Caenorhabditis elegans: one gene and its partners. The protein of the gene in region 1 purifies or fractionates together with the protein of each later gene. This does not show direct contact. Each region holds a gene or a part of one and is shown in the gene's direction. Other genes may lie near its edges. The genes, in order: unc-33, klc-2 and unc-14.

Region 1 (4,750 bases):
TCCCGAATTTCGACAAAATCTAGTAAAAAATCCCCTAGAAAAAGCAATGAAAATCTCAGTTTTTTGCTGATTTTCTCAAAAAAAATCAACAAAGAACGGAGTATGAGTAATGGAGCATCGGTGGAAAAATCGAAGCCTCTAGAATTTTCTAGATTTTCGTGAAAAATCAGCTAAAAACTCAAATTTCGGGACAAATTCACCAAAAATAGCAGAAAATGGCGGAAGCACTACTACTGTACATAAGGATTTTCTAAATTTTTCATGAAAAATCCGCGAAATCCGGAATTTCGATGAATATTAGTGCAAAATCTCCGAGAAAAAAGCAATGAGAATCTCAATTTTTTGCTGATTTTTCTCAAAAAATCAGCAGAAAAAACGGAGACTGTCATCTTATGATTATTTCCTTTCTTGATGAATCATTGTTTGAAATACCGACACACCACCCGGTGTGTGTTGCGAAATAAACAAATTATTGTGTTCTTTTTCAATATAAACACAGCAATACCAGTTGACCGCGGGCGGTTTTAAACTAAAAAAATCCAATCGGAAAAAGATGCGGGAAATTCGAAAAATTCAGAGCTCCAAGCGATCCCCGATGGATGCTTGTAAATCGATAAATCGGGCGGAAACCTCTCCGGCGGACACATTGTAAGCGAGAGACGAGAGAGCGTCAGAGAAACCAATAGTGACCCCCCTCTGCGTCTCTGACATGGTATTCGTGGAGAGAGAATGAGTCAGAGAGAGAGCCGGAGACGGAGAGAAACACAGAGAACACTCCCCGGAGGCTTTCCGCCGCCGCTTTCGGGGCCATCTCACATCGATTTCGTGCCTTTTTGTGGGGATGGGACAACTTTTCTTTGTTTCTTGATGAGCTTTTTTGGATTGTTTAATTTTCTTCAGAGAGTTGCAAGAAATTTCATCTCTAAAAAATCAGATTTTTTCCTTTTTTCGGAAATTTCAGAATTTTATTTTTAGGTTTTTTATTTAAAGAAAAGTTAGGATTTTTCTTCAAAAATTTCTGAATTTTTTCTTTTTTTTGTCAATTTTCTCTAGAAAGCAGCCAGAAAATTGATCTCAATTTTGGAAATTCACTGGAAAAAATTCGTGAAAATTTTAGAAATTTCTACAGCTTTCTTATTTTTTAAATACAAACAATTTTCTCTGTTTTTTGATGTGAAATTTAGTTTTTTTTCAATTTTGGAGCATTTTTTGGGTTTTTGAAGATTTTTTTCTTTCGATTTGCAAAAAAATCGATTTTCTAAGAAAAAAAACATTAGAAAAACTAAAACATTATTTTTTGAAAATACAATATTTTTGTTGTATTTTTAGATTTTTTCCTGCAGGAATAAGATTTTTAGTCTCGTGAGAGAATTCACACTAAAAATTGCTAAATTTACATAAAATATGTGTAAAAAGCCATTTTTTCCGTAGAAAAATTTCAAAATTTATGAATTTTTCTTTAAAATTTGATTAAACCCCTGAAAAACCACTGGAAATTTTGTTTTTTCCCCTCGAAAGTTCCCCCAAAGTCACATTTTGCAAATTTCTAAAGAAGATTTACCACCGCAATTACCATAGTTAATCCGAAAATTGAAATTTTCCCGTCTTTTTTCCTCCAATCTTCATTTTTACCTCTTTTTAACCTAAAAATAATTGAAAAAACCCAATTTTTCGTTACAGAAAGCGCGCAAAATACACATTTATCACTAGAGGAGGGCCAAATAGTTGGCGGACATCACTGGAAAATGTTCCCGTTTTTAGCACCAATTCGATCAGCAAATCATGTGTAAGTTTTGCGTTTTCCGTGGTTTTTTTTTCCAATTAAATCCAATTTTAGAGAGCAACAAGGCACAAAGTACTACGTAGAAATCACATTTCTAGCAGATTCTCCATATTCTAGAGCTCCATCGAGCACTGGCACCGAGAAATCTGTAATTCCAACGCTCAGGAATCTGGATGACCTGGAGACTGTTTCTAATAAAAGTAGGAGTAGTGAAGGTTAGATTAGTCACGTTTTCCCGTAATTTTAAGCGAAGTTTTTGCCCAATTTAGGAGTGAATAAGCTAGGGAGCCGTCCGAACAGCCGAAGCTCGGCAATTGTTAAAAAGACGAGTGTGTCCTCACTGCCAACGTCGGCCCGATCCGAAGGAAAATCCTCTCCGATTCCGGTTAAAGATGCGATTCCGGCTCCAGCGCGGCACAAGAACAAGGGTCTCGAGATGTCGTCGGCAATGATGGTGGGTTTCCCGTTTAAAAAATCAAAATTCTAGCAAACTTGGTGAAAAATCGAATTTTCTAGGAGCTATTTGGTGGCGGAGGCAGCACGTCACCAGCGCCATCAAAACGAGAAAACCCAGCCGACGCGGTGAGTTTAAAAATTTTTCTAACTTCTAATGTCGCAGGATACGAAAAGTCGCAATGTTCAGGGCAAAACCACGTTGATTTACGAAAAATTTGATAAAAACTTGTGTTTACAGTAAAAAATTCTAGAATAAATCGAAAACATCCCGGAAAGAAAGAAGAAAAAATGAAAAAATAAAATAAAATAGAAAAATAAATTCAAACGTGTCCTACAGTAATCTTTGAAGGCGCATCACAATTTATATAGTCCAGGTTTCGCCACGAAAATTGTTTTTCTTTAGTTTTTAGGATTTTTGCCATTATTTCTAATGTTTTCTTGACTTTATATGTTAAAATAATTTTTATATTCCAATTTTCATTAATTTTTTATGTCAAATATACCAAAAACCAGGCAAAACTCTCTTAAACCTTCATTATCAACTACCGTAACTTTAAAGGTACACATCACTTTGCGAAACGTGGGTCTCGACGAGTTTTGTTTTTTTTTAGTTATTTTTTTGAAATTTAAAAGCCCAATTTTTGTAATTTCTAACCGATTTTCCTGCAATTTTCTTCAATTTTTTTGATTTTCAGCCATCCGATCGTGTTGTAAGCAATGCTAAACTCTCTCAGCCTGGCCCAGAATGGTTTGAAGGGTTCGAACAGATGGATATGACGGATATTGGTGAGAAAATCAGATTTTTCGAGAGAATTTGTGGTTTATAAGCCACAAATCTGTGTTTAAAACCATTAAAAATGTAGAAAATAAGTATTTATTGCAGAATTTTTTACAGAACTACCCCCCGACCCGAACTGCCCGGCGGAAAAGGTGTTGCGCGGAGAAAAATCGACGCCAGACTTCGATTCGGATTGGCAAGAAGCGAAAGAAGACGTTTTAGATCCTCAAAGCTACCCGAAAAGCTTCAACCCCGCCGAATCGCTTCCCGGTCCAGATATTGGCGCCGGCGTTGACGATGAGGAAGAGCCTGAGGCTGAAGCTCAAGAAATGGAAGAGGTTCGTGATTTATTCACGAGTTTTCCCATTTTTCTGTGTCCTTTCCATCAATTTTTGATATAGTTTAGCAAGTTTTTCGCGGCGTTTTGTTTGTTTGTGACGGAGGGAGAGAGAATTGTTTGAACAGATGTCACCTGGAGAACAATTAAAAAATTAATGTTCACTGTAATTGTTTGAAAAATCGCGAAATTTTGAGCAGAAAAAAATAGAAAAATGGTGAGAAATTCAGAAATTTCAGTGACAATTATAGGTTAAATGAATTTTCAGATTTTTTAAAAGAAAACCCCGATTTCAGGCAATTTGTTCCTAAAATAGAAATTAAAATCTAGTTTTTTTCCACATTATTGAGCAATTTTTGCTCCAACTGCCAATTATATTGCACTTTTGTTAATTTTCCAAGCGATTTTTAGTTAATTTTTTTCTCTAAAAAGCTCTAAATTTCCTAAAGCTGTCAATTTTTTTGCAAAAAGTGTAATTTTCCACTTTTCGTGGCAATTTTCAATAATTTGGCTCTAAAATAACGTTTTTAACACAAGAAAAGTCAAATTTTTCACAATTTTGAAAATTAGCTCTAGAAGTACAGTATTTTGCAGCAAAAAGCTCTTTTAATACAAATTATAAATTTCAGGCGATTTTAGCCTGAAAAATCTCCAAAAAAGCTCAAAATTTACTATAGAACTGGTAATTTTTATTGCAAAAAGCTTATTTTTACAACTTTAAGAGTGATTTTTTTCAACCAATTTCCCCAATTTTTTCAGCCAATTTTCTCTCTAAAAGCCCTAAAAATAGCAATTTTCAGGCAATTTTAGCTTGAAAATGGCAAAATTTAAACATAAAAGTGTTAATTTTCTATGTTTTTACCCAATTTTTACTCTAAAAAGCTTTAAATTCCTATAAAATTGTCAATTTTATTGCAAAAAGCTTCTCTTTTCTTCATCCTTTATCTCTTACTTTCTCCAGCCTCAATACGAATCGAAAGTGGACGAAAAAGACGACGACGACAATGGCTCTTCTTCCTCCAAAAAGGGTCATCCTTCCGAAGACGGAGATAGTACAAGAAATGGAGAGACGCCGACAGACCGACGAAATAGTGGGGCGATTGAAGAGACGGCAGACGGTGAGAGCTCTGCGCAGTCGGCTGCTGAGAAGAAGAATAGTGGAGACGACGGCAACGGAGGCGGCGGTGAAATGTCGATTTTGCTCGTCAAAAATGCTCAAATTGTCAATGACGATGCGATTTTTGTAGCTGATATTCTGATTGAAGATGGAATTATTCAGTAAGTCGGATTTTTGAGTTGAAAATTGAATTTTTCGGTCAAAAATTGACCTCTTTAATCGGAATTTTGAGCAATTTTAGTCCAGATATTGTGAATTTTCGTAAGATTTTTGTGATTT
Region 2 (5,140 bases), on another chromosome or scaffold:
ATACCATCATGAATTTGGCCGGTTCTACTATTCAGGCATATCGCCAGTAAGTTATATTTTTAATTTGAAATGAGAATTGGAATTTAGAGTGTTGAATCATTTTCTTATCACATGCATTACTCATCAAAAAATGTTTGAAAGTTATTTCCGCTAGGGCTGTAACAAAAAATGTACAGTACATTCTAAGCGGATACCCTAATTTTCAAAAAATTTCAATTTGCATCTACCGTAAAATAAAAATAAAAATCGAAATCTACTTTCCTAGTCCTCTAATTCAAAATTGCAAGATCTTATGACAAGTTTTCAGAAATAGTGAATATATGAATCAAAACTCTTTGCCCAAATTCTAATAATTCATGAGAAGTTTATGTTAATATGTTTTATTTTTTGGTTTTTATATTTTCTGAAATCCCACCTTTCTCTTGAGAAACAAAGCAATTTCGATACTTTTTTGCATATGAAGCTAAACAAATCCTAGATGTATTCTTCATAAAAACTCAGGTGTCCAAACATTGCAATTAACTATGAAAGGATGCATCTTTCCAATTGTTTCGCAATTCTTTCTCGCCTCCGTCTCTTGCTCTCTCATTTCCTCCATGTTGGACGGACGATCAATAGTTTCTATGTTGTCTCTAATATTTCTATGATCTCTCATCAGTGGCTGCGCACGTCTCGCTGTCTATTCGCCGACACGACGAGAGCGGGCTTTCGGTTAATACAACCAAACACTCTTTCCGAACAACGTTATGTTTTACTTGTCCACACTTTATTAGCATCTTTATGTTCAGAACCATTTCTTATGAGCTTTTGCAGGAGAGAAATTATTAGAAAGTTAAAATTTGGTTTCATTTCTGCTTATATTGCGAAATTTGTACCTATAGTGTTGCACATATTTAGCTTATCTTTGACATATTCCAAAAAGTTTCTCAGTTTTCTAAAAGTTTTTCCAAAATTGTTCTAGTGCAACTCAACCTAGCAAAATCAAAGAAATATATTAGTTCTACCACGAAATGCTATTGATTTTCAAAAATTATAGCGCATAGTGCAGCCTTGATTTTTTCAAATTAAAAATTTCAAAAACCGAGTAAATAAAAATTACAAATTTTTAAAAGAAAATATCAATCCACGATGATTTTTATTTTCTCTAAAACGTGTTGAACATTTGGAACATTTTTGCTTTATTTCAACTTATTTCAAAGCAACGTTTCGGTGTAAAATAAGTTTATCGTTATTTTGTGAAAATGTGGAATGTCATTTTAAAGGCACATGCGTATTTTCTCAGGGGGTCTCGCCACGATCTCCTGTATTTCAATAGCAAATGGCAGGGCTGTTATTTAAGACGCCCTCCTCAATCTTTGAGAGCTCATTTTGGCGTTTTTTTTAACTTCAGCCATAAAATTGAAACTGGATAATATTTACCTAAATAATAGATTTTCCAAATTCTTGCACCAAATAGATCTATGGTATAAAACTGTCAGGCTGATTTTCAAATTTTTGCATTTTTTAGAATTCCAAAGTGAGCAGTATTCATGGAAAAATATTTTTTGAATCTAGTTCTACGTTTTTGAGAGAATGCAAGATTTTAATTAATTTTTGTTGTGCCATACTTTGGCATTATTTACATTTAAAAGAAAAAAAGGGTTAATTTTTTCTGATAAATCTGAAATTAAAAAAAAAGACTATCGCAAAACTTATTGAACGACCTAATAGCTATGATCTACATAGATTCAACTGTTTTTACTCACTGAAAAAATTTTCTCGTTAGCTACCAACACTTCTCGAACTTCTTCCAATTACATTTAATAGATTTAAAATTTCAGGCGAAAAATCGAGTCGCTGGCGAAAATGTCAAACATGTCGCAGGACGACGTGACGACGGGCCTACGTACCGTTCAGCAGGGACTTGAAGCTCTTCGTGAGGAACACTCGACAATTTCGAATACTTTGGAGACTAGTGTCAAAGGTATGGCTTTTTTTACGACGAGTTGAACATTTACTAAAATTCAATCATTTAGGTGTGAAAGAAGATGAAGCTCCATTGCCGAAGCAGAAGCTTTCACAAATTAACGATAATTTGGATAAGTTGGTGTGCGGAGTTGATGAGACATCGTTGATGCTGATGGTATTCCAACTCACTCAAGGAATGGATGCTCAACATCAGAAATACCAAGCTCAACGGAGACGCTTGTGCCAGGAGAATGCGTGGCTTCGTGATGAGTTGAGTTCAACTCAAATCAAACTTCAACAGTCGGAGCAAATGGTTGCTCAATTGGAAGAGGAGAACAAGCATCTTAAGTATATGGCATCAATCAAACAATTTGATGATGGAACTGTAAGTTGAATTTTTCGAGGAGCATTCTTAACTTATTTTGTTTGTTTTCAGCAAAGTGATACTAAGACATCTGTCGATGTTGGACCACAACCAGTCACAAACGAAACTCTTCAAGAACTTGGTTTTGGACCAGAAGACGAAGAAGATATGAATGCTAGTCAATTCAACCAACCAACACCAGCCAACCAAATGGCGGCTTCTGCTAATGTTGGATACGAAATTCCAGCTCGTCTTCGCACACTTCACAACTTGGTCATTCAATACGCCTCCCAAGGTCGTTATGAAGTTGCAGTTCCATTGTGCAAGCAAGCTTTGGAAGATTTGGAGAAAACGAGTGGTCACGATCATCCAGATGTTGCCACAATGCTCAATATTTTGGCACTTGTCTACAGAGATCAGAACAAGTACAAAGAGGCTGCAAATCTTCTGAATGAGGCTCTCAGTATTCGTGAGAAATGTCTTGGAGAAAGTCATCCAGCTGTTGCCGCCACTCTCAACAATCTCGCAGTTTTGTTCGGAAAACGTGGAAAGTTCAAGGATGCTGAACCGCTTTGCAAGCGTGCTCTTGAAATTCGCGAGAAAGTTCTTGGAGATGATCATCCAGATGTGGCCAAGCAACTCAATAATCTTGCTCTTCTTTGCCAAAATCAAGGAAAGTATGAAGAAGTCGAGAAGTATTACAAGAGAGCTCTCGAAATCTACGAGAGCAAACTTGGACCTGATGACCCGAATGTGGCAAAGACCAAGAACAATTTGTCATCTGCTTACTTGAAACAAGGAAAATATAAGGAGGCTGAGGAGTTGTACAAGCAAATTCTCACCAGAGCTCATGAAAGAGAGTTCGGACAGATCAGTGGAGAGAATAAACCAATTTGGCAAATCGCTGAAGAACGAGAGGAGAACAAGCACAAGGGAGAAGGTGCAACTGCCAACGAACAAGCTGGATGGGCAAAAGCCGCCAAAGTTGATAGGTATTATGATTTTTATTAGAAAAAAATAAATTAAACAAAACTGATTCCAGTCCAACCGTCACAACAACTCTCAAGAACCTTGGAGCCCTTTACCGGCGACAAGGAAAATATGAAGCCGCCGAAACATTGGAAGATGTCGCCTTGAGAGCAAAGAAACAGGTATGTAATGATGTTTTTTCTGCATTCATGGCTTCTCTATCTAGCACGCTTTACTGCATTTAAAATACAAAAGTTCAGAAAAAAAATTTAGAAGTTAGATATTAATGTTGTAAAATGTTGTATGCGTCCCCGATACCCCAGTGACAAGAATTTGCTTCATATTTACATGTATTTTTGGAACTTAAAACATTGACAACAGTTGTTTCAAACCAGGGGAGTGCGTCAAATTTGCCGAATTTGCCGGTTGCCGAACTTGCCGGACACGGTAAATTTCGAAAATTGCCGCACACATCAAAAATTCGACAATAAAATTTTGACCAAAACTATGTTTCAAACTAACCCGAAAATTAGATGCTGCCTGAACAATGTCTTGCCAACTTTTGAACCAAAATTGGCAAATACTGAAATATTGCACAAATCTGAAGCTCATTCAAACGAATTGTTTTTTAAAATTAAAGTTTAAATTTAATACGAAGCATATTCTTGTCCTCCCCAAGCCCCCATCAATAACAATTCCAGTAACAAAAAAAAACACATAAAACGCTTATTTTTGTATTTTAGTGATAGTGATGTGCTTTAGAATTTGGTCACTCGTTTCCTCTTTTCAGTATTGTTTCCTCTTTCAGCATGAGCCATTACGAAGTGGAGCGATGGGCGGAATCGATGAAATGAGCCAGTCGATGATGGCTTCTACAATCGGTGGATCCAGAAACTCGATGACAACGAGCACATCTCAAACTGGATTGAAGAATAAACTAATGAATGCACTCGGATTCAACTCTTAAGAGCATCTCTTTGCAGCACTGACTGAAAACCGCTTATCGTTCTTGTATTAATAAGTGCTCGTTGATTCAAGTTCCAAATTCTGAAATTTTGTCTCAGATCTACGAAAACTTGCTTTTTTCTTCTTTCGTTGTGTTGTGCATGATTCTTTTTTTTTTGATTGATTTTTCTTTCTGCCCCATCCCCTCATTCACAAAATCTTGTTCATAAATAATAGGGTTGAATAATTGAATGTTTCCTTGTCCGCCCCCACCAACTTTTTGGTAAAGCTTTATATTGTCTGCTTCGAATTTTCTTTTCAAGCAAAAAAAAAAACATAATTATAACAAGCTGAAAAATCGTGTTGTTGTAAATAAAGGGTTTATTTTTGAATTCTGCTTGTTACAAGAAAAAGAAAACTTCAATTTCAGATGTCCGAATCTCGAAGAATGGAACGATCCGTTATGTATTGATTGTTGCTCGACATTGTACTCCGTCATCAAGCTTTACACTTCTTCGCAAAATTCCAAAAGTTTACAAGTTCTCATTTATTTATATGTATCAAGTTCTAATTAAACACTGCTTTTCTATTTTTGTTAGCTATTCGCATAATAACATTTTTTTTTAATTATAAAAATGTGAACCCGATTAAATTGGAAAAACGTTTCGAGAAAAATTATAATTGCAAAGATTCATGATATTTATTCAATAAGACTTGAAAAACATTTACCCTGATATTCAAAAAATTAACAAAAAACAACGGTCAAGTTGGTGATTATGGGAAGGGGTTTGTATTCTATGAAGAACACGGAGAGATTAACATGAGCGGTACCAAACCCTGGTACCAGGGCTTCCTGCTGGCAGGAAATTGTCAAATTGATAACCCATAATCTCCGGACCGAAGTGAAAACTTTAG
Region 3 (8,115 bases), on another chromosome or scaffold:
TTCTGAATTGAAACTTTTATGTTTAGACATTTTGAAATTTACAACCAAAGTTTTTGAAAAATCATACTTACATTTTAGATGTCCCCCAATGTTGAATTGCAAATCATTAAAAGTTAATTAAAATATAAAATTCGTAGACAATGTTAAAGAAATAAAAAGAATGTTCAAAAATTTTTCGAGCTAAAACTGTTCTTATGAAATCTTGAGCTAAAAATTTACAACTCCGACACCAAGATTATACAATATTTTTTTGCGTTTTTACATAGCTTTGAAAAAAGAATACTTGGTCATTTTTTCACCATATAAGTGGTTTCAATAATTTTCCCAACTGGCAATACTCCATCAGTTAAAACCTGTGCAAATAGATACAGAGCCACTGTTTTAAAACCGAAATTTGCTAATATTTAGCTTTTTGTTGGATACTTCCTGGAAAAAAAATTAAATTTAAATACTGGGAAATCATCTGAATATTTTTACAAGTCGACAGTTGCTATGTACAATTTACAACTTTAAAATAACGTACTGGAAATCTACAAAAACTTCAAATCATTCTGTGAATGTAAATTTCTTTGCTCATATCCTTCTTCTCCGTCTCTCATCACTTAAATTTTGTTTGCATCGTTGCCCACTATTTTAATTAAGCTCATTTTCTCAATTTCCTCTACCATTTTCTTGTGTCCCAATCAATCATTTCTCACCCACGAAGTATGATGAATTGCCACGTCACACAAACACCGATAGATCTTTTTTCTTTCGCACTCTCTTTCTCATATCAGTTGTGTCAAGTAGACAGAGAGCAGCAGCATCTCGAGTGTCCCATTTTGACAAAAAAAAGATGGGAAGAGATGTTTGTAGTTTTGAGATGAATGATATACGTTTGGTTATTGTCCCAAAGGAATGGTATTATTGTGGAATGCTCTTTGACTCATTTGATTTTATAGAATAGTCTGACAATCTTCTGAAAATTCCTAAAGACCCCCCACAAGAGAAAAGGTATATTCCACATATAAGAACTACAGTATCAAATCATTTTCCAAGTTACTCTAGAGAACATTAGACTACATTATTTCAATAGTTATCAAATGACTTGAAAACGTTTTGAAATTGTTTTATTAACAGTCACTTCAGTTTCATCTTTGAAAAATGTCTAATTGTTTCAAACTATGGCACTTTGCCAAAACTCTGTTTGAAAATTTTGAAAAAATATGAAACATGTCAGAGTTGTTTTAATTTTGGCACTCTTGGAGTAAATTTTGGCTAAGTCATCTTGGCTTCTCAGCTATGGAAGTCAATTATGTTTTACAAACCCATTAACAATGAAATCACTGAAAAGTTTTATTTTATAGTTTTAAAAACAATGAAATTTAGATTTTTTGTCGTAAAGTGTTCATTTTCAAGAAAACCAACGTTACGGTCGTAAAATATTAAAAATCACAACATGAACGAACACGCCCACAACAGAGTTTAAAACATTTCCCGGAACCGTTTTTCAAGTTTTTTGGAAACTTTTTTTCCTGGAAAAACTCTTGTCACTTTCTGAACACAAACTTTTCTTATGCAAAAAAAATACAACTTTGGCACCAAGATGTTTTTGAAAACTTTTTAGAAAATGTTTCAAAAATCAGCCCTTGCAAAAATAATTCAATCTCAAATGATTTCATGGGCTTATATGTTTTTTTATTCTCCAAGTTTTGTGGATTCTAAGATTCTGTATGACAATAGTATCAAGTTGCCTCAATTTTCATTTCTCCGACTTGTTGTCCACCATCACAGTAATACGATTCTTTGTCTTGAAAAATGTGAGCCAATCATCTTTCATGCACAAGTACATTTTCTCGGCCATCTCGTCTAACACTTTCCCTCAAACTACTCTCGTTCGTCTGTCTTCTATTCTTTGCATACAACTCTCAAGAGTGTTTCTCTCATTTCAGCGCTACACAGAGACACAGACAACATCTCTCCGTTGCGAAACACAACGAGAAGAGTATATTGAAGAGTGAGACGGAGAGATACAATTTGGATTGCATAGCCAGCTGACGCTTCTCTCGTTTTCTCTCGTTCTCTCATTTTTCAAAAGGCCAGGGACGCAGATTCATTGATCGACAACGACGGCGACGCGGCGGCGCGAGACGCGTCCCTTTATTTCTTCTTTTTCTAGTCAGCTTCTGTTATTCTGAACGTCTACAAAGGGCTTCATCCCTCAATTCTTCCACCAAAATGGTGGAACTGTGCGAACTGCACATGATGCCTGAAGAGGATCAATGGCCCGATGACATTGATGCTCGAATCGCTGCTCTCAACTTTTGTGGAGAAGATTCGATGCTCTTTGAATCAGTTGATCCTTCTGTATCAACTGATTCTTTAGACTCTCAACAGTTTCGAGAGAGATGTCAAATGAAAAAAGAAGATTTTCAATTAGCATTCGCAGACTCTGGACATTGGCAATCAGGTATAAATGATAATCTGACAACTTGGGGTCGGATTCGGACATCTGAACCATTGGATGAACGTACTGCCAGTGCTCCAGATGTTTGGAATGTAAAAAGAAGTGATAGTGCTCGATCACCAAATCGTCCAAATTCACTGATTGCCAACTTTGTTTCCGGAGATGCTACTCGATTCGTCGATGTAAATGATAATGAAATTCGCGAGGCAAATGAAGAAATAATTCGTAAAGATCGTTGGAGAAGAGATTCAGCGAGACGATGCTCATCTGGAGGACAAAATCAGAAACGAACATTTGCGGATATTCTGGAAAAGAATGTAACAGCACCAACTTCAATGGCAATCACATCGTCTGATAATGAAAAGCCTCCGAAATTAGACTTCCTGGCAATGCATCATGAGGTCAGTTTTTTTTTCGTAAGTGATAAGAGACGGGTGATAAATTTTGTCTGTATTGTGTTCTGCGGCAAAGATCGAGGTGGTCGGAGCGTTCTTTTTTCTTTCGATGCAACGTTTTAAGTTTTTCCAAAAAATAAATCATCTTCACTTTTTTCCGCAGTAAAGAAAATAAACAATTTTTTCAAAAAAATAATTTAAAGAATTTATTTTGATACATTTGAATTTCATCAACATTCACCGTATTTCTCCTACTAATCTTGCTCTTTTTCGGTTTACTTTAACAGTTTATATCTGGCCGTCGGGATATAAACTGTTAAAGTGGTTCAATACTGACAAGACTGATAAATAAAAATACTGTCTGACAGAATATACAAAACCTATGTATCTTGGGAATAGCTGTCAACTGACAAATAAAAACATTGTGTTAATGACTACAAGTATTTATTGCTAGTTTATTTTCTAGTCAACACATTTTTTTCAAAAACTAAATTCTAAAGTCTAAATTTGCAAATACTTAGATAGTATCATCGGTTGGTCATCACATTCCTTCCCATTTAAAAACAATTTTGTAGGTCGATGTTATTTTTGAGATAATGATCCTAACAGAATATAATTTTTAAAAGAAAAAACAGAAAGTATCCCGTCGGGATGCAAATGAAGAAGCAAGAAATAAACATCAATCTTACATAATCCAATCCGCGACAACCAAAATTGTTATCGGTTTCTTTTTTGTGTCAACGTCGCCGCTGTAGTCGTCGCGCCGCACTTATCATACCCATTCATTTGATCGATTGACTGCGTTCGTTTCTATTTTTTAATGTTTCATATACGGACGCATGTCTAGATAATGTCTTTTAGTAGTAGTGTAACCATGAGAAATTAGAACATGCATTCAAACTTTATAATTAAATAAATTAATTTTTAGATGCCATCTCTCTGCGAGTCATTCACCGCTTCGTTCCGTGATGCTATTATTAAAATGCAGAAATGTGAGCCACTACCGTCGATTACTTCAACCAATGATTTTCCGCTCTTCTTTCAAGTAAGTTCTTGTTTTTAGCATTGAAAAATAAACTTAACCATGAGATAAATTGAACAAGTTTTCCCTATTGTGCAGAAGTCTGATTATCAGCTAAAATAGGATACCTATTCCAATAAGCTGCTTTAATTGCTGTTTTAATGCTGTTTTAATAAGCAGGTAAGATCATAAAAACTCAAAGTGCATGCAATTTTAAACAAGAAAATCTTCAGTGGTGATTTAGTAAACATATTTGCATAATAGTCAACCAAGTATCCTTTTTCAACTTTCCAAATTTTTAGTAAAAATTTTAAAAAGTTGTCAAAAATTCCAAAATTGACTTTAGATATGTAAAAGCCTGATTAATTTTTTCGAAAAGTTTTACCACGATATAATACTTTTAAATGGTTTTCCATTCGCAGCTTTAACTAAATATAAGTATAAATTTAATTGTTCCTACAGTAGTTATCCCCATGAACTCATTGTGGCACGTAATCTGATATTTCTCAGTCTCTAATACTCTCACATTATTTGTTTCCATTAATTATTCATCCTTTTCTTTTTCAGGAAGACTCTCCCGACTCAGGACTCGGTTGTAGTGGTCCGAGCCACATTGAAGATTGGCAATCTCTATCTGTTCTTCTGCCCAAGTGAGTCACGTTTTTCATTCGATTTTCCCTTTTTTCTTTCGCTCGCTCATTTTTCATTTTTCGCCGGCTTAATCTCAAGATTATTTCGCGCCCCGGCACTCTTTTATTGAAGGGAAACATTGGAGAAAAATAAGAGACGCAGAGATTTTTCACATTTTCTTTCTTCCCGTTAACCCAGTCGGAGAAAAGATGGCGCAGGGAAGATTGGGAAAAGAAAGGACTTTTTCTGTGGGGTGAACGGAAATTGAGGGAAGAAAACTGAAATGGGCACGTGATTGACTTTTTTGAAAATTGGTCAATCTATCGGAAAAGGTTAAAGGTGGAGATTGTGAGTGTGGATTTAGTTTTAAAATACTCAAACTAGTCTATAACCCTGAAACAACTCAAAAGAAAAACGAAAGAAACTAGTGAGAATGGAAAATAATGTTTTTTTTAATTGAAAAAATAGATTTTTCTGTTTTGGCTAATTTTTCTTTGTTTAAATTACCTCCGAAATGAGAATTTCAAGCCGATCAACGATTCGCTTTTTCAATCAATCATATGGATTGCTGAAACCTTTAAGACGTTGATTGTTTTGAAACTACTTGAGGTTTTTAGCTTTGTTTTAGGTTTTTTGGCATTTTAAACAAAACACTATTAACGCTTTGAGAATCACATCAAAACTAAAAATATTTTCTTAATTGTAATGTTTCAGACACGTCGCAGAAGCATGTTCATTCTTCAAGAGCAACACCCAATTATTAACATCAAGTACATCAAAAACAGCACCCCAAACATCAACAAACATCGTATCAAATTGCATTGATCGCCGTATCTCTGGTATTTCAGCATCAGCAAATGAAGCATGTCGAACGTGTTATCGAGTACGAAGGAGGTAAGAATCTTTTGATTTTTATGAGCTATTTGAGAAGCTAACGGCTAATTGCTTTAGGGTGACGAAACGTTTGATGACCAATCGTTAAAATAGTATACAAGACACATGTTGTGTAATAAATGTGTATCTCACTATTTGTTAGAATATGGTTTTCTGTCTTAAAATATTCATAACAATTTTTTTCAGGATACACCCACCAGTTTGGGCTCAAACTGCCCAATCAAAGACGGTTCTTTGTGACTGCGCATCAACACCCACGGATACGAATTTCTCATTTGCACCAACAACGTAAGCTTCTTCTTCACTGACTCTATTATGCTCTTTAATCTTCCATTTGACCCTCATCATCAATCACTTACCCGCGCACATTCACTTCTTTTCATTCTCTTCCTTCTTTCGAAATCTCATTTCTCATTTCAGTTCAACGACTCGCCATCAACTGCGCGCAAAAGAGCTCTCAATTGTCGGATTGCCGATTTATGCAGCAAAGCGGACACTCGTTGAGAATGTTGTTGAAGGCGTTGCTGCAATTTCAAGAGGGGATGGAAGTGATTTGCTTGTCATGTAAGAAATATTTTTTAATATTAAATATGAGGGTCTGCAACTTTAAAGAAACCCTGAAAATGTAAAAAAAAATGGAAAAATAGTCCAGTTCAATAAAAAATACTCAAAATAGACTCTTATTAATACAAATTAAAATGTTTCAACATTTTCAGCGCCATGAGATGCTTAATTGAAGATGGTCTTCAAGAAAATGTATCGGCATGGACAATGATTCAGACGGTTACCTCAAAAGGCCCAGCTACAAAAGATGTTCATTCAATTGTAAAACAATTGGAAGAATGTTCAAAGACTGACAACGTCAAAGTTGAAATCTTCTTTGAGGAGCTTATCAGGTAATCGGAGAAAATAGAAATATAATCGTTCAAGTAAGAGTTACAGAGAAAACTCATTGGACTGCTGGCTGTGCTATATTGTGTTGAAAGAGAAGGTGCTGAAAACATTGTATTCTGAAAATGCATTCCTTCTTTCTGCGAGTTCTGAATACAGAACTCTTCTTTGGAGAATGGTCGACAGTTTGTCTCTTTTGCCAGGTAATTCTAGTTTTCATTAACAACAACTTAAATGAATGTATATCTAAAATGCCCCAATAGTTCCCTTTTTGAAATTTGCACATTGATATTTTTAGTGATCGAAGCTCGCAGTGATTCAGTTCACCAACAGTTCAAATCAATGCAACAATGGGGCGGAGCATCCAGAATAGCTTCTGACTCAAGAGTTCCAAAGAGTTCATCGTTCCCAGCAAGATTATCAACTGCTCCATCAAGAAGATCAAGGATACCATTGTCAACAAGGTAATTTGTTTGTTTTTTCATTGCAAAATTGGCAGACTTCGAAACGAGACATGTCTTATTTAAAAGTTTATATGCATTTAGACCAGGATATCAAAAAATTTTAAGCAAAGCTCAGCAACCACACTCTAAAAATTTCGCTCTGAAATTTCTTCAGTGAATTTTTTCGCTGTAATTGTGCCTCATTTTTAAGAGTGTTGGGTAGATATTCTGAATTATTTTTGGCAATTGATTTGATTCTAAAAAAATCAACAAATGCAATCAAAAGCTCTCTTGATCTTTGACAACTCTTAACCACTTTTCAATTTTTCAGTCGCATCAGTATCAGCTCAACAACTTCAACACCTCGATCAGCTCGATCACCTTCAACGACATCTCGTATTCGAGTTGCATCTATAATGGGTGACTTCACACTTGCCAATTTCTCCCTCTCAGACGGAGAAAAAGTTAGTGTTCTATCAACTCGTGGAGGACTTGCTCGATGTGTCCGTTTAACGACTTCTCATTCAAAAATCAACAATGGAGTTATTCCGATTGAACATCTTCTTTTCCAGTGAACACTCTGTACTTTATTTTTTTCTTGAACTTTAATTTTTTTCCGATGCTTCATATAATTCTAGTCATGCCACCCAATTCAACCGAGTTTGATCCCCCATCCCATGCATTCATCGTTTTCCCTCAATGATACTCATTTCTTTTTCATGTTCAACTGAATTCATGAAAAATGTTTGAAAACTTTCAAATATTTTTTTGAATTTAAAAGTCATTAGATAGCCTCTCTTTTCCCTCCGGTTTCCTCCAATTTTGCTCCTTCTATCTTCGTATAGAAGAAAATTGCTTTATTTCCTTCCTTTTTCAGCTAAAATCGAGGCAACTATTGGATTCTTTGCAGCTTGCCAAAACATTATTCAATAACAAAAACGAAAATGTTTATTTGTATTTTGGAATAGAGCCAATCGGATTTGTATTGTTTTTGAAAATAAACAATAAATAAAATGCATTTAATTATTAATTTTAAATTTGGAAAAGTTATTAAATAATCTAAAATGTTTGAAAATGAACTTAAAAATGAAAAAACATACAAATAATTTTGTAATTTGGTTTTTTTTTTACACTTTTTGGATTTCAGTGGCGTTGCAATATAGCCTTCAATAATTTTCAAAGATCACCGGGCGTAACATTTAATGATTAATAGTAATTCAACGAATCACAAATTACAACAATTCACAAATATTTACCAAAAACATTTTGATCTTAAGATGTTTTTTTTTTATCTGAACTAGTTTCCATTAGTGTCTCATGTCGAATGATGTGATAAGAACGAATTATTTCGAGATAACAATAACATTTGAAAATCCTATAAAAGGGGGTGAGAAA

What was found.
Region 2: the proteins of unc-33 (region 1) and klc-2 purify together in Caenorhabditis elegans (affinity purification with western blotting, with the first as the bait; one study listed by BioGRID). This does not show direct contact.
Region 3: the proteins of unc-33 (region 1) and unc-14 purify together in Caenorhabditis elegans (affinity purification with western blotting, with the first as the bait; one study listed by BioGRID). This does not show direct contact.

What each region holds. Positions count from the first base shown.
Region 1 is NC_003282.8:3,515,141-3,519,890, forward strand, and holds the start of unc-33 (Protein unc-33), read left to right. Parts: upstream 1-1,745; coding exon 1,746-1,786; intron 1,787-1,837; coding exon 1,838-1,998; intron 1,999-2,052; coding exon 2,053-2,237; intron 2,238-2,299; coding exon 2,300-2,365; intron 2,366-2,934; coding exon 2,935-3,025; intron 3,026-3,134; coding exon 3,135-3,355; intron 3,356-4,315; coding exon 4,316-4,632; intron 4,633-4,750. UniProt on the Caenorhabditis elegans protein: During neurogenesis, plays an essential role in axonal guidance and outgrowth by regulating the polarization of both microtubule and actin cytoskeletons.
Region 2 is NC_003283.11:5,576,210-5,581,349, reverse strand, and holds klc-2 (Kinesin light chain), read left to right. Parts: upstream 1-1,845; coding exon 1,846-1,963; intron 1,964-2,015; coding exon 2,016-2,332; intron 2,333-2,383; coding exon 2,384-3,303; intron 3,304-3,353; coding exon 3,354-3,462; intron 3,463-4,088; coding exon 4,089-4,247; 3' UTR 4,248-4,613; downstream 4,614-5,140. UniProt on the Caenorhabditis elegans protein: Kinesin is a microtubule-associated force-producing protein that may play a role in organelle transport. The light chain may function in coupling of cargo to the heavy chain or in the modulation of its ATPase activity.
Region 3 is NC_003279.8:7,122,240-7,130,354, reverse strand, and holds unc-14 (RUN domain-containing protein), read left to right. Parts: upstream 1-2,108; 5' UTR 2,109-2,217; coding exon 2,218-2,847; intron 2,848-3,769; coding exon 3,770-3,886; intron 3,887-4,429; coding exon 4,430-4,512; intron 4,513-5,206; coding exon 5,207-5,386; intron 5,387-5,572; coding exon 5,573-5,674; intron 5,675-5,806; coding exon 5,807-5,950; intron 5,951-6,102; coding exon 6,103-6,282; intron 6,283-6,328; coding exon 6,329-6,480; intron 6,481-6,575; coding exon 6,576-6,741; intron 6,742-7,051; coding exon 7,052-7,295; 3' UTR 7,296-7,741; downstream 7,742-8,115.